2 linked regions of the Caenorhabditis elegans genome follow. The protein of the gene in region 2 interacts with the protein of the main gene of each other region in a pairwise test. Each region holds a gene or a part of one and is shown on either strand. Other genes may lie near its edges.

Evidence for each region. Proteins that work in one complex are often made in the same cells at the same time.
Region 1: the proteins of W05B10.4 (region 2) and ras-1 interact in a two-hybrid assay, tested with the Caenorhabditis elegans proteins (one large-scale study listed by BioGRID).

What each region holds. Positions count from the first base shown.
Region 1 is NC_003280.10:12,345,050-12,353,747, forward strand, and holds ras-1 (R-RAS related), read right to left. Parts: upstream 7,177-8,698; 5' UTR 7,102-7,176; coding exon 6,985-7,101; intron 4,659-6,984; exon of another isoform or gene 4,587-4,658; intron 4,545-4,586; coding exon 4,457-4,544; intron 4,403-4,456; coding exon 4,300-4,402; intron 2,334-4,299; coding exon 2,225-2,333; exon of another isoform or gene 2,135-2,224; intron 1,333-2,134; exon of another isoform or gene 1,250-1,332; intron 1,149-1,249; coding exon 1,030-1,148; intron 902-1,029; exon of another isoform or gene 831-901; intron 764-830; coding exon 661-763; 3' UTR 238-660; downstream 1-237. Other genes in the region: C44C11.6 (Transcriptional regulator), read left to right, coding at 103-237.
Region 2 is NC_003283.11:12,665,372-12,671,363, forward strand, and holds W05B10.4 (Ras-associating domain-containing protein), read left to right. Parts: upstream 1-2,854; 5' UTR 2,855-2,859; coding exon 2,860-2,935; intron 2,936-3,478; coding exon 3,479-3,615; intron 3,616-3,677; coding exon 3,678-4,232; 3' UTR 4,233-4,318; downstream 4,319-5,992. Other genes in the region: srx-116 (7TM GPCR serpentine receptor class x (Srx) domain-containing protein), read left to right, coding at 5,536-5,616, 5,661-5,821, 5,872-5,992.

The DNA.
Region 1 (8,698 bases), on a different chromosome or scaffold from region 2:
AGCACCGCAAAAAATTGTCGGCATGGCTCAGTGGGTAACGAGCTTGACTTGCAAACAGAAGGCCACTGGTTCGAGTCCTTGAACTGAAGTAAACATTTTCAGATCGGAAAATCTCGATCGAGAAGTGCAAGTCGCGAGAAGGTGCTCAAAGACTCGGCCGTACAAGCTTCACCATCATCCCGTGAAGCCGTCCAAGTCGTCAAGGCAATCGCCCAACCAGTCGTCGAACAAAAATAAATATTCTCACGTTTTTTATTACTCTAAAAGAAAATGGGTTCACAGGGCTATCAGTAGAGCGCATATCAGATTTTTGGTCGAAATTTGAGAGAGATTTGTACTCGGGATAACGGGCACAACGGGTAGGGTGGTAGGATATGGAATAAATATTTTGTTGGAACTGTACAAGAAGGGGCTAGAATCAGAGGAAAAAAAAACATTTTAAAAGCAATAGAAAACCAAAGAAATCCCGTTTTGAAGTGGAGAGAAGGAGTTTAAAGGCAGCAAGTTAAAAATTTTCAGAAGAGGGTGCAGTATATCGTATGAAAGTCATGAAGGATTGACTCTCCGGTTCGACTATTCACATTTTTTGAAGGTTTTTGAAGTATCTTCCAATGTTGAATGTCGTATCGGACTGGAATAGATTAATTGAGTTTCTGGAGTTTATTGAATCCTGCAATTCTTTTTCTTCTTCAGCTTGATCGGTGATTCGAGCTTCCGATCGTCATGGGGGTGGATGGGCATGCGCTCGTCATGTTGGTATTTTCTGAAATTTCGAGATTTTAAGTATGAAATTCAAACTCAGCGCGTTGAAAAACCTATAAACCTATAAACGACCTCGAGAACTCGAACCTGTGACCTTCTGCTTAGCAGCCAAACCTCTTACCCACTGAGCCACGCACGCAAAAGTTTCATCTGAAACTCGAGCATGGCTCAGTCGGTAAGAGGATGGGGTTTGAGACAAAGGGTCGCGGGTTCGAGCCCGCTAGCCCCAGTTGGGGATTTTTAATTAATTTTTTTCAAATTTCTTACCTGACTAATCTCACAATATCAAAAAACGCTTCATCAACATTTTTTCGAATTTTTGCCGAGCACTCCAAATATGGTATTGAGAGTCGGTGTGCGAGCTCCTCGGCTTCATGTCGGGCTACCTGAAATTCGAGGTTTTATTCGATAATTTTTTATGGGAAATTTAACATATTCAGTGTAAAAAACCTAATAGCCATTCTGGGGGGTCGAACCGTGACCTTTTGCTCCAAAGGCAAGCCTCTTACCGGCTGAGCTATGCAGCGCAGCGCGCATGGCTCAGCCGGTAAGTGGCTCGCCACTGAATCCGAAGCCATGGATTCGAGCCCAAAAAACTCTGCTTAAATTTTAAAATTTTAAAACTTTAAAACCCCTTCAATGCGAAATCCGACACAGATGTTTTGAATTGCAAACGTTTTTCGTGAGACTCACACACACATATGTTTCGAGTGTTTTGTGCATGTTTCAATGTTTCAAGTGCTCTCTTGAAAGTTCTAAAGACACCCTCCAATATTTGTTTTCGATAAAAAATATATGTTGAATTACATAAAAGTATATATTGACACAGTTGGCACTAGTTTTGAGGTCAAACTAAATTGTAGAGGTTTTTTGAGCGATTTCGGTAGTTGAAATTTGAACTTTACACGTTGAAAAACATATATGCCACTTCAAGGGCTCGAACCTGTGACCTTTTGCTTGCCAGTCAAGCTTCTTACCCACTGAGCCATGCGCTGCAAATTGCTGTGTTTTAGGGTGTGCGCGTGGCTCAATCGGTAAGAAGGTGGGCTGTGAAGAAATAGGTCGCTGGTTCGACCCCGCGCACGCAATTTTCTTTTTTGTATAGTTTTTAGGCTCAAAAAATCTTCAAAGGAGTAAAAACTCTCGTTTCAAAAAAAATTTCTATACTACTTCGTACACATGTCAGGTGGAATCCCATAACTCCTTTTCTTTTTTCGGAAACCCTATTTCCGCCGATTTTTTGCCTCCGATCCCCATTTTTCTCAATCAACTTCTTGTGCTCTCCGAGCAAAAAGCAAAAAGCTGGAGAGGAAGAGTGTCGTGCGCGTTTGGCAGTGAAAAATGTTGCGATTTTTATGGCCTTGGGTATGGGTCAAATCGGAGCTAATGGGTACTTGGAACATCTTGTTGGGAAGTTGAGCAAATTTTTGAAAATTTTTTTGAAAAAATTTTCAAAACTTACGTGTCTCTCATTTTCCAAATCTGCTTTATTGCCCACTAGTATAATTGGAAAATCATCTCGATCCTTGATTCGGCATATTAATTCGTGTAGCTTTTTGACCTCTTCGAAACTGGAAAAATTATGGAGTTAAAATGTTTTTCAACAAGTTTTTCTAAAATTTGGTAGCACGACTTAAAACGGCCATATCTTGGCAGACAAATTAGATATTTGAGAAATTTAAAATAACATTGTAGAAAATTTTATGAGCAATATTTTGTCAGTTTACAAATTTCAAATAACGTGACTACCTACAGAGATATGCACCTTTAAAGTATTTCTGTGAAATATTCCCTAACCCAACACTTTTTCAAAAAAAAAATTCTCCCAAACAGATGACTAGAAAGAGGCGCTCATAAAACCGATTAACCTATCATAAAATGAGTCATTTGATATTCCGCTTTTAGTAGTATATTTTTCGAGTGTTCCAAGGTCAGTTCTGTTCTCTTGGAACAAAATTATATAGTTCCCGCGCGCGGGGGTTTTATGACCAAATTTATTAAAAGACGGGTGACTGGTGGCGGTAGCGTTTTTGATGTTTTTCTGAGGAATTGTTGGGCAGCCGACATCTTACAGGTTTGTGAGATGTCGGCAGCTGTACAAAGCTAGAGCAGCCGACACCTCACTGGTCCAGACAAAAAATTGGGAGGGGGAGCGCGAGATGTCCGGTGCTAACTTTCGGAGTTTAATGAAGAAAATGGTTATGCCATTTTTACTGTTTTTTTTTTAAATAAATATATCGCAGCCGACACCTCGCAGGTACTGCAAAACTTTGGCAGAACTTTGTTAGCCCGCGGGATGTCATCTGCTACAGAACTTGCCAAAAACCGATTTTTTTTTCCAAAAATTATTGGAGCGCTCCCTAATTTGTTCCCTTCACCCATATCCCGCTCGTTCATAGCTTTAGACCAATATATTCTGGGTTCTTGAGATCTAAGTGTCAACAACTGAAAAAAGAAGATGTGTTGCGGGTAGGGAGCAGAAGCCGTCGTGCCGGCACGCCAACAGCGTAAACATAATATTTTATTTCGGGGGGCGCCTGTTTTTTGTGGTGGTGGTGTTGATGGTGAATGACGAGTACACAAAAGTTCCCGAAGGCGCAACGGGGTCCAGCCGAAATTTAAAGGCGCATAAAATTTGAATTCCAATAGGAAACAGTGGAATGATGAACTGCCCCGTGACCCCTACACCCGGATGCTCTCTCCCGCTGCTTTTTGAGAAATGTATGGGACCATTAATCATATGGCTTCAATGTTTCAAAAGCATGATTTTTGGCACACAAAGGAACCATTGGGGAAGGCTATAGCGTGCCTACCTACCTAAGTGCCTGCCAGACTACATAACTGCCTACCAACGTGCCTAGAGGACTTCCTACATGCCTACTTTCCTGCTTGGCCCAAGCCTGCTTACAAAATTGGCTACCTACCTACGTACCTACCAACTAACGTGCTTACCGATCTTCCTGCATGCCTACGAGTCTGCCTGCCTATCTACCTACATGCCTGTTTGCCTGCCTATCTACCTACCCGCCTGCCTGCCTAAGCTGCCTAATTTGTGTGCGCCTATCTACTTATATGCCTGCCTACTTACGTACCCGTCTACCTACCTGCCGGTCTTATATGTGGCAGGCGTAGGCCGCCTTAAAAGCAGCCTAAGGCCTCATTCTCCATCCCCCAACCTCATGCTTTTCGCATGTATGTTTTTCGAAAAATGTCATCATTATTGAGGGAATGTTTGCTGCCTCCTTTGCCTGCGCGGCATGTCTTCTTTCTTTTGGCCAAATAGATGCTATGAACTTAGGATTTAGATGTCACTTGTGAGATAGTACGGGATTCGTGGAGACCCAGAGACGCAGAGATTGAACGGGAGTTTATCGGAGCGCGAACGCCGTGCGCGCGAAGAGCATCCTCAAACATTGGAGCAAGGAGGCCAGGTCGGAGGACAAAATTATGAAAATTTTGGCAATTAAGAAAATATTTAGCATTTCATTCTCGCATTAAAAATTTTTCTACAATTTTTTCACCCAAAAAAAAACTCACCTATTCCTGTCAGTAACTGCAAACACAATTAAAAAACCGCTCCCCGTTCGCAAATACTGCTCTCGCATCGTGGAAAACTCCTCCTGTCCAGCAGTGTCAAGGACTGAAAATTTTAAACAAAATTAGGTCCTGAAAAGAAAACTCAGAAAGAACTTACTTTCCAGTTTGCAAAGATCCTCGTCGACGAAACATTGTTTGGTGTAGGAGTCTTCGATCGTCGGGTCGTAGTCCTGCACAAAGTACCTCTGAAACAAAGGGCATTGAATCTTCCAAAGCATTGAAACTAAAAGCTTCCGGGGATCCGAACCCGGGACCTTTTGCTTCATAGCCCAACCGCTTACCGACTGAGCCACGACGCCTAGCTCAGTCGGTAAGCCTGCTGGTTTCCAAGCAGAAGGTCCCAGGTTCGACCCCCATTGAGGTTTCTAAAGCCGCTGATTTCGAATTTTCAAGTCCCAATATCCCATTTCCCGAGCCGTTCCCACCAAACTTCAAGAGCTGCTCCCCTCCCTCTCGACTCTGTGTGTGTGCTCGAGAAAACGGTACTAGTATATACACATGTGTGAAAAAGGGGACACACACACAAACACAAAAGTAGTACTGTGTTTTCCATCTCTCTCTCTCCCAAAAGTTTTTTCCCCTCCTTTTTTCGACAAGAACGACAAGACACTCACATGAGACTCACGCCTTTGCGCTCACCCTCGTACAAACATTGAAAAAGGATTATTTTCGGGAAGAAAACGGAGCGACGAAGAGGCAAAAGCTTACAAAAGGTCGCGAGATGGGAAGAGAAAGAAGAACTATAGGGCGAGATAGGACAACGTGTAATTTGAGAGCACACTTTTTTCCGTCTAAATTTAAAGGTGTGGAATGATCATTACAGGCCTAAAAATAGAAAAAGTAAGATCCCCAAAAAAAAATTGTTCGCCGTTTTCAATGACTCAGGTAGTTTCACTCTCTTACTCCTTCCGTGAAGTCATGACTGCATTTCGTACAAATTTTTTTCGTATTCCCTTTTATGCGGAACGAAATTTTTTTCTCCTCTCTCCTGATCTGTTGCAATATGCAGTGTTCTTTGTGATTTTATTGAGGAAAGCGGTGAACGTGTTATTGGGGAGATAGTGAGAGACGCAGGAAAACATTAGAGGATCAAAGTAGAACATATTACCCAATAACTCGATGCACCATATCGCAGAGCCCATGAACCATAAAACTAGGGGCTTGTAAATTGACAACACTAATTGCTCGTTTATCAAAGAACGTTGAAAGCGTGGGTGTGCGGAAAATTTGCCGAATTTGCTGCACAAGCCACAAATTGAACAAAAACTTTGACCGAAATTATTCTTTTTTGTTCCAGAAATTCTAGTGAAATAACATAAAATTGAATTATTTCGAATTTTATACGAAAAATCTGACGTGTGCTAAGAATTCAGTAATTTTGGTGCTCTAAAAATTATAAAAAAATATCTACCACTACAGTACCTCTACAGTACCCCTACAGTACCTCTACAGTACCCCTACAGTACCCCCTACAGTACCCCTAATGCCACCCAGTTGTCTGTAAACCTATAAAAATCAATGTCACTTCTTAACCTACCTAACTCATTATCATGTTACCGCCTGGCTGCTGCTGCTGCCATTCGCGCACACACCTTTTCTCTGTCAGCCTAAAGAGACCCCCTAATCATCTTTTGTTTGTACCCCCTATTTCTTTTGTATCTCTCTCTGTATGTATGTATGTTTGGGGCCGTGTGTATGTGTGTGGTCGAATTGAATCGTGAATTGGATTCAGAGACAAGAAGACGTGAAGGTCATCACACTAACAAAACCACAATAAATGTTAACATAAATTATGGGAACAACATTTTTTGGAGGAGGATCCCGGGAAATTTGAAAAAAAAATTATGCGCAAATTGATTAAGTATAGAAATGAAAAATGCCCATAAATTCAAACTCCATCAAAAAAAAAGTAAAAATTTTAATTTACAAAGTTTTGGAAAATACCTAAAATATAATACTTGAAGTTCTAGACAACTTCCAAAAATTCAAAAATTTTTTTTTTAATTTTAACTTTTTAAAATTAGTTTTTAGACTTTTTTTTAAAATTTAGATTTTCCAATCAAAGACCCTTTAAAAAAAGTTTTGAATTTAATTAAAATTAAACTATTTTAAATAATCTATTAAAAAGCAATTCTGCTTTTCGATTTTTCAAAAAAAAAAAAAACAATTTTTTTTTTGAAACTCAAGATTTCCCCTAAGTTTGCCAGGCCATATCTCAGTTCTCTTAAGTTTTATTAAAAAATTTTCAACTAACAAAATATTAATTTTTTAATTTTCTATAATTTTGAATCTAAAGATTTACTTTTATCTTGAAAATTAACAAAGATATGGGTGCCGAACCTGGTTGAGTTTATTTTGTCTACTACACCGAGCTTGCTCAACTTTGACAATTGATATCTCAGTTCTTTCATTAGTTATCAAAAATATTTTCACTAGAGCAGTATTATTCATTTAATTTTCTATAATTTTGTAGTTAAAAGTTTATTTTTATCTTAAAAATGAACAAAGTTATGGGCTGTCAAATCTGGTTGGATTTATTTTTTATCCCTTTCTACCACTTCTACCCCCATTTCCACATTTTAAAAATATTTTTTCAACTTAAAAATATAAAAAAATAAAACAAACCTGTATAAACTGTATGGTCAACGCCGATTTCCCGACACCTCCACCGCCGACGACAACGATTCGGAGCACTGCATTTTGTTGGGCGGCTGTGGTGGCTGAGTTGCTCCGGCCGCCCATCGGTAGTTTTTTTTTGGACAAAGATAAAAATTTGGGACAAAACTTTGAAGAAGTTGAAGAGACGACCGACGAACTGCAAAAAAAAACCTTTTTATTTCTTATCATTTCTTTCATTTTTCATCAGCTGATAAGAGATCAAGAGGCGCAGAGGGAAAAAGAAAAAAAAAACGGTTTTTGTTCCAAAAAAATTTTTTTGAAATTTTTTTTCGAGGAGAAAAGTCAGGGAGAAAAAGCCGAAAAGTCGGTGGGGGCAAACACATGCCCGAGGGAAAAGGGGCGGGGTTTCGAAGGGACGCAGACGGTCAAAATGGATGAAGCTCCGCCCTAGTTTTGTGGGGAGTTGGAGGATGAGAGGAATAGATGGTGAGATGAAATTCTGAAACTGAAAAAAAAAGAAAAAAACCCTCTTTTCCTGGATTTTAAGAATTAAATTTTGTAAAAACTTTTGTGATTTTTTTATTTTGGAAAAAAAAACTTCAAACAATGAATTTGTTATCACATCGATTATTTTAAGTTCTATAAAATAGAGGATTAAATTTTAAAAATTAGAAAAAAATTGATTTTTAAATTTTTTTTTTGAATTTCGGAAAATTTTTTATTTTTTGATTTTTGCGTAATTTTTGTTTCTAAATACTGTAGATTTTTCAATATATATTTCAGAGTAAAAAAAATTATTTTGAAATAATACAGAAAAAGTCGAAAGTAAAAAAATTTATTATTGGAATTATTTTAAATTCCTTAAATTTTTTCTTATAGTTCAAAATTCTCAGACACAAATAAAAAAAATATAAATAAATTTAAAACTAAAGAACTTTAATTTATTTATTAAAAAAATGCCAAAATCAGAGTTCAAAAATCTACAACTCAAGTAAAAAATTTGCCAACAACCTATAAAGAATTGCAAAATTTTTCAGAGAAATAAAAGAAAAAATCCAGCAGATCACAAAAAAAAAGAACAGGAAGCTTCTAGAGAGAAAGAGACGCAGAGAAGCAAAAAAAAGGATCTGACATGTGTTCCCCGTGAGTAATTACTGTTGTTGCCATGAAGTGAAAATTCAAAATAGTCACACTACAATTATTTTCAAATGTATATATATTTTTTTCTGTCGAGGATGAGGTGTCAATCATGGGAATAATAAAACTAGAATTGTGAAACAAAGTGACGAATTTTGAAAAAAAAATTCTCGAATTTCTGTAATGCAATTTTCTATGTTTTTATGATTTTTTTTTTGAATTTCGCCTATTTTTTTGCTCTAAATGACAGGAAATATACTGCAATAAGCTGTTGAAAATTAAAAAAAATTTCTAAACTAATTATGATTTTTCAATTTTGCGAAAATCAAAGAAACGGTCGTTGAACTCTCGCGCAAGTGAGTGACATATACATACACCTATACCTATGCCTATACCTATACCTATACCTATACCTATACCTATACCTATACCTATACCTATACCTATACCTATACCTATACCTATACCTATACCTATACCTATACCTATACCTATACCTATACCTACACCTATACCTATACCTATACCTATACCTATACCTATACCTATACCTAAACCTATATCTATGCCTGCCTGTGGTGAG
Region 2 (5,992 bases):
GGATTTCGATTTGGAGTATCAGTTCCATATTCAAGGATCTATTCAGAAAAAACTAGGTCAGCACCTACCAGCGTTTATATTTAATATTTTCTCAAGTATATTTACCCATGTTCATTCCTACATGGGCGTAATATTGACAAATCAAAGTTTTTATTTTACTCCCTGAATAACTCTTCATGAATTCTTTTTGAACAATCTTTACTTTTCTTATTTTCTAACTACCACCTGTCCATCTTTTCTTTGTCCTTTGATGAGTTGTGTCACTTTACAATCGACACCTGCCAAGGCCAATAGCTCAAAAGAAGCAGTATTCTTCCAAAAACAGGACCTCCAATTCAATCTCATTATGCCTCATAAACATTTCAATTTCCTTTTACGAAAAACTTTTTTATCTCGTTTCCAAACCGTTTCGCTCTATAGTTGTCCGGTCACGCGGACACTGATTTGGCACTGAGAATGTAAATGGATTTGTGTCAGTGACGGGTTTTTGTAAAATCTATACCGGATTGGTATCGTTTTGTGAATGTACCCTTTGAAACCAAGATGTCATTTTTAAACATGGCCAACATCTTGCAAATTTTCTATAAGAAGCTCCTTTTGAATTTCAATATTATCACACTCTATAATATATTAATGTAACCAATATATCTCTAACTCTTGAGCACCGGAAATTCAAATACATTGCACTTCCAGAAAGGCTTCCTAATATCGTCATTTGGTAGCCTTTTTTTCCAAAATAGAATAATGTGAACATGATCACTTCCGCACCTTTTCATATAAAATTGCACAACTTTTAAAATTGAAGACCCCATTTGAAATAAGTTTCCAATAATACTAGCAAAATTGGAACTTTCATGGTAGGCAAAATCGTCTTCAGTGAGTGCCTGCCTCATGCCTACCGACGCTTATTTCCTGCACGGTTATTAGGACAGTAGGCACATATATGAGATATGAGACAGGGAGTCGGTTTTAGTTTTTAAGTTGATGGGGTCAGCTTGTTTTTTTTATTTATTCGAAAGTTTTATTCTAATTGTAAATTGAATAGTTTTCATATTCAAAGTGTATAGATTTTAATCCATTTATGAATCATTAAAAAAATTGTTGCATATTTTTGCAAGTTTTTCATTCTAAAATCATGCTTCAACATTTTGCATCGTTCTTCATTGCGTAACCCAGACGAAGCCCCAAAAAACTCCTTTTTTCTTCTGGGATTATTCACTGTCACCTTCTTAAAAACGGCGCCTTCGATTATTTCCAGCTTATCCGATTTCACTTCTCATAAGTACTTCTACCTTCAGTTTCTTCATTTTTTTTGTTTTTTGAATCCCTTCAGACTTTTCCCTAGTGTTTTTTCATATTGATTCTGTACATCAACTCGTCTCTAATCGAATCAGGCGGATAGATCAAGGAATGTGGGCATGAGGGAGAATAGTATGCCAAAAATTAATTGAAACTCTCAATGTTCCGCCCACTTTTTGTTTAATGGAAGAAGTATCGCCAAAGTTAAAATCGAAAAAAAGTGTTTCAAGGTGAATAATGTCGTGGAAGCAACATTTGGGTTTTCGAAACGCTAGTTTGTACAACTATTGGTTAGAAAATCCAGAAACTTCAATTTCACTTTAAACGACAATATTTAATTTTTCTTCAGAGCTAGATCCATTGAAAGGACAGACAGCTGCAATATTAACGACGATAATAAATAAACAATAAAAATTGAGTTGCCCACGACAATTGTAGAAAATCGAAAAAATTAGGCTCTTGAAAATACGTCTGACTGTTTTCTTCCCATACCAAAACTTTTGAAATTATTTTTTGACAAAAAACCAGATTTTAGACAAATTCAGACAATGTTTTTTGTTTTTTTAAGTAAATTTCTTTGTTGGATTCAATGCAAAAATTTCAATACAATTTTCAATGCAAAAACTCAAAAAAGTTTTCACTGTTAGACTTTTAAAGGCAACCTTAAAAGTGACAAACTCAAGAAAAATCAATGTTATGCTCGGCCCAAATTATGTTTTTTTGGGTTTTTTGTTGGTTTTTTCTTGCACTTCTCGTAATTTTCTACTACAGGTACTTTACAAAAAAGTTTAGGACTAAAAATCCCACACTTTACAGGCCACATTCAGAAAAATGAATCTTTAGTCCATGTTCCATCTGATAGTATTTCCGACAACTTTCTCGAGACCTATCATCTTTTTTGTATTTCAAATGATCCTCCAAGATTCAATTGCTAACTTCCGGTCCATTACAGTTGTACAACTTTTTGATAAACATTTCATCTTTTTTGGCAACTAATTTGATGATAGTATTGTACTTGTATTTTACTCGTCTTACGTGTCTGATAACACCAATCAAATCTAAATAGCAATCTCCGACCGTAGGAACCAGTTGATTGACTCTTGCCTCGGAACTATCATTTTTCTTTCTTCTTCCGCTACCATTATATGTAATGATATCCTTATATTATCCATAATATATTCCTCATTTCCTCATTAGTGATCCAATTGAATGCGAACGCAAGTCGGTGAATAAAGAAAGAACAAATAAAACAAATATATTAATGATTTTCTCTTTATCCACATTCCCGGACACCGCGTGCCAAATCACTGATAATATCTCCATTTTCCTCTCTCCAGGCTACGGCTTGATCAAATACTTTTCTTCGTTTGAAAACGGTCATTCACACTCACTCACACACCCATATCGTTTACCCGTTTTGTGTATTGCCAACTACCGCACCCATATCTTCATACTTTTCCTCTTTTTCGCTTTTCCTGTTCGTATGTACATACCTTTGTACTATTTTCTTATACAAGGCTAACATTATTGAATTATACGGTTTTTTTTGTTTCAGAAAAAATGCTCAAGTACCAAGTGAAATCGTCCACTTTGACGTTGCGGCCTGCCAATCGGGCATCGAGAACGTCTTCGTCAAGTGAGTTTTTTTTGATTAAACTCGAGACCTACTTGAAGTGTTGCACTTATATTTCGTAAAATATGTTCATAATTTCTATTTGATATGAATGAATAATATTTGACTGCGTTTCCAGACGCTTGAACCCTTTTTAAGTGATTAAACTTTTCAGTAATGTAAAATCCTATAGGATCTTAAATGAGAGATTGAATTACCTACAATGACTAATTAATTCCCATGATAATAGATTTTTGGGTATTAAATACTTTTACGTAACACTAAGAAGATTTACAAAACTTTATTAACTTCTACTAGAATCATTTCCAATAGTTTACACAAGAAATTTAAATTTAACATTTTTTCTCGGATGTTTTACGTTTCTACAGTACTCAATGAAATCGATGAGATCAAGTTTACTTTTTCGAACGAAACTCAAACAATTGAGCTTTCAAAATTTGATCTTCCGAAGATCGCTTGCAAACATCAAACCTATTAAATAAAGTTTTAGGTTTGAACTAGATTTTAGTTGATTCTTTTTCAAAAAAATTTTGTTTTCAATTTTAGATTCATCCTCTCCTTGCTCAATTTCTATGCATTCTCTTCTTGATGATACTCTTCTCGGGATTCCAACAACTTCTCGAAGCAATTCACTTCTTTCCCTTAACTCAACTGATAGTAATATTTCGGATTCTTCAGATGTGGTGAGTAAAAAAACATCAGGCACCATTCAAATATATCATTCAATAATTTTGACTATTTTCAGGGAGTCCTAAAAGTTGATACGCGGAGTGTTAAACAATGTACCGATTACAAGACAATCCGAGTTACTAATTCAACAACAGCACGCCAAGTCGTTGAAAAATTTCTGACAACTCTCAAGCTCACTTGCCGAGATATAAACATGTTCGAACTTTGGATGGAGCTCACAACAAGAGCTTCGGGAGCTCCTGTTGTCACACTTCTAAAACTGGATCCTGAATCTCGACCATATGAACTTCAAAGATGCCATCCAATCGGAATGTCTCGTTTCATACTTCTTCAAAGTCCAACAGGATATCTCGTCAGAGTTCATGATCATAATATTTCTCCTCAATCTAACTACAAGTCATTGCTCCTTTCATCTCAAACAACAGTTCTTGAAGCTATTCATATTGTTCTCGGCTTAAATCGAAAATATGATGATATCTCAAAGTATGGACTATTCTTAGCAACACCTGGAGGAGATGCTCAAATTCCAGAAGATGTTTCATTAGTTTCTATTGCAAGACTTTGTCAACCGAATCAAAAAATCATTATCAGAAATGTTGATGTATTCTAATTTTTGCATGTACTCTGAACATTGGTACATATGTATTATATTTAATGCTTTAAATTCGTGGTATCTTATAAACATTTTTTAAATAACTCTTTGTCTCTTAATGAAAATCGTCGTTCAAAAAAAAGTTCCCTTCGAATTTTATAATCTACTAAAAAAAGGTAAAGGTTATTTGAACGCGATAGTGGTATACATTTCTCAAAAAGTGGCGAAAAATCAGTATTTTTTGTTTTAAATCTCTCATCAACTCAAATAAAATTTTATTAAACCGAGCAATGAAATATCAAAAGATATTATTGTTTTCTCATCCTGGCATTCTGGCATTTCGGAAAACATGCTCAAGAAAACATACATTGTCTTTAATCTAGTAGATCAGCAGTAGGTGCCTCGTATAACCAATTTATTTATTCTTAGAAAACTTGGATTCTTGAACCTTAAACTAATTTTATTGGCGTTACACCAAAAACTAATAAGTGATATGCTGTAGCTACAAACCCCAAGTAAAACATACATATTATTTCTGATTTTTGTTTTGTAAGATTAAGTTCCTTTTCGTTGTGATGAATTCATTCCAATATTTGATAGACTGTTATAGAATCAGATGTCTGGAAATATATGTAATTAAATTTCCAATTTCCTGTTGGTCGTATGATTTGATTTTTAACAACAAATTTACCTAGACGTTAGAAAAAGTTCAGATATTTATTTTTCTACGAAAGCTGAAAGTTAGCTATTACGTATTTAGTAAGATATATAAATTTCTGTTTAAAATATGGTTTCACATTGTTTTGAAATAGGTATGAATATTTAAACTAATTTTTTTATCAATTTTTTTAAACATCGGTTTTTTTTTTTAATTTTTGAACTTGTCGTTTACCGTTCGGGCAATTTGAGACTTTTATACCGATTTTCCAATAGCGAACCCATTTTCTTTTTAAAAACTGTTTCACAACTTTGGCAAGTTCAATTTTAAATGTTGTTCAAAAAATGGCAAACCCCCGATAAAAAACTGCGGAACACATGTAAATTGGACCATGACTACTACATCTTAATAATCTTGTTCTAGAAGTTAGAATTTGAAGAAAAAAGTGAATTTTAAAATTTGAGTTAGTACAGCCATGTGAATCTAATTGATGTTTCATCATCAATTCAACATTTATGTTTTTTTTTAATACAGTAGACCTTTCTGTTTTCTAACTGCTAATTTTTTTTTCGTCTGTTCCAATTTGGACGATCGCCCTTCAAATATTTACTTTTTTTTCCATTTTAATTGATCACACCAACTTTTCAGCTAAATCCAATCGCCATGACTATTATTGATGACATATTTTTCACAGTGGAGTCAACGGCAAGTTTAAGAATTGTCGCAGCCATTCTGCTTACCGTGGTACAAATTTCAGTTTCAGCAATTTATTCAGAAAAAAGTTTCAGACAAGTATAACGGGAACAATTTTCAATATTATTGTGCTATTCGCAATAATATTCCGAGTCAACAAAAAAGATGGATTTTTAAAGATTTGTTGCTTGAAAAGTTTTGGTAATAGTATTGTATGCATTGGATATCTTATTTGGCCCGTACCAGTTACGTTTCTGTTAGTTTCAAGACATTTTTCAATTTATCGAAAATCGATTTTTAATTTAGAAATGATTATTTCTTGCCTCACATGTTCAATGCTTTTATGGGTCAATTAGTTGGATGGTTTGCCTGGTGTATTGGGCCATTCTCGCAAGTATTACTGACTAGTAATCGGATATTTGCAGTA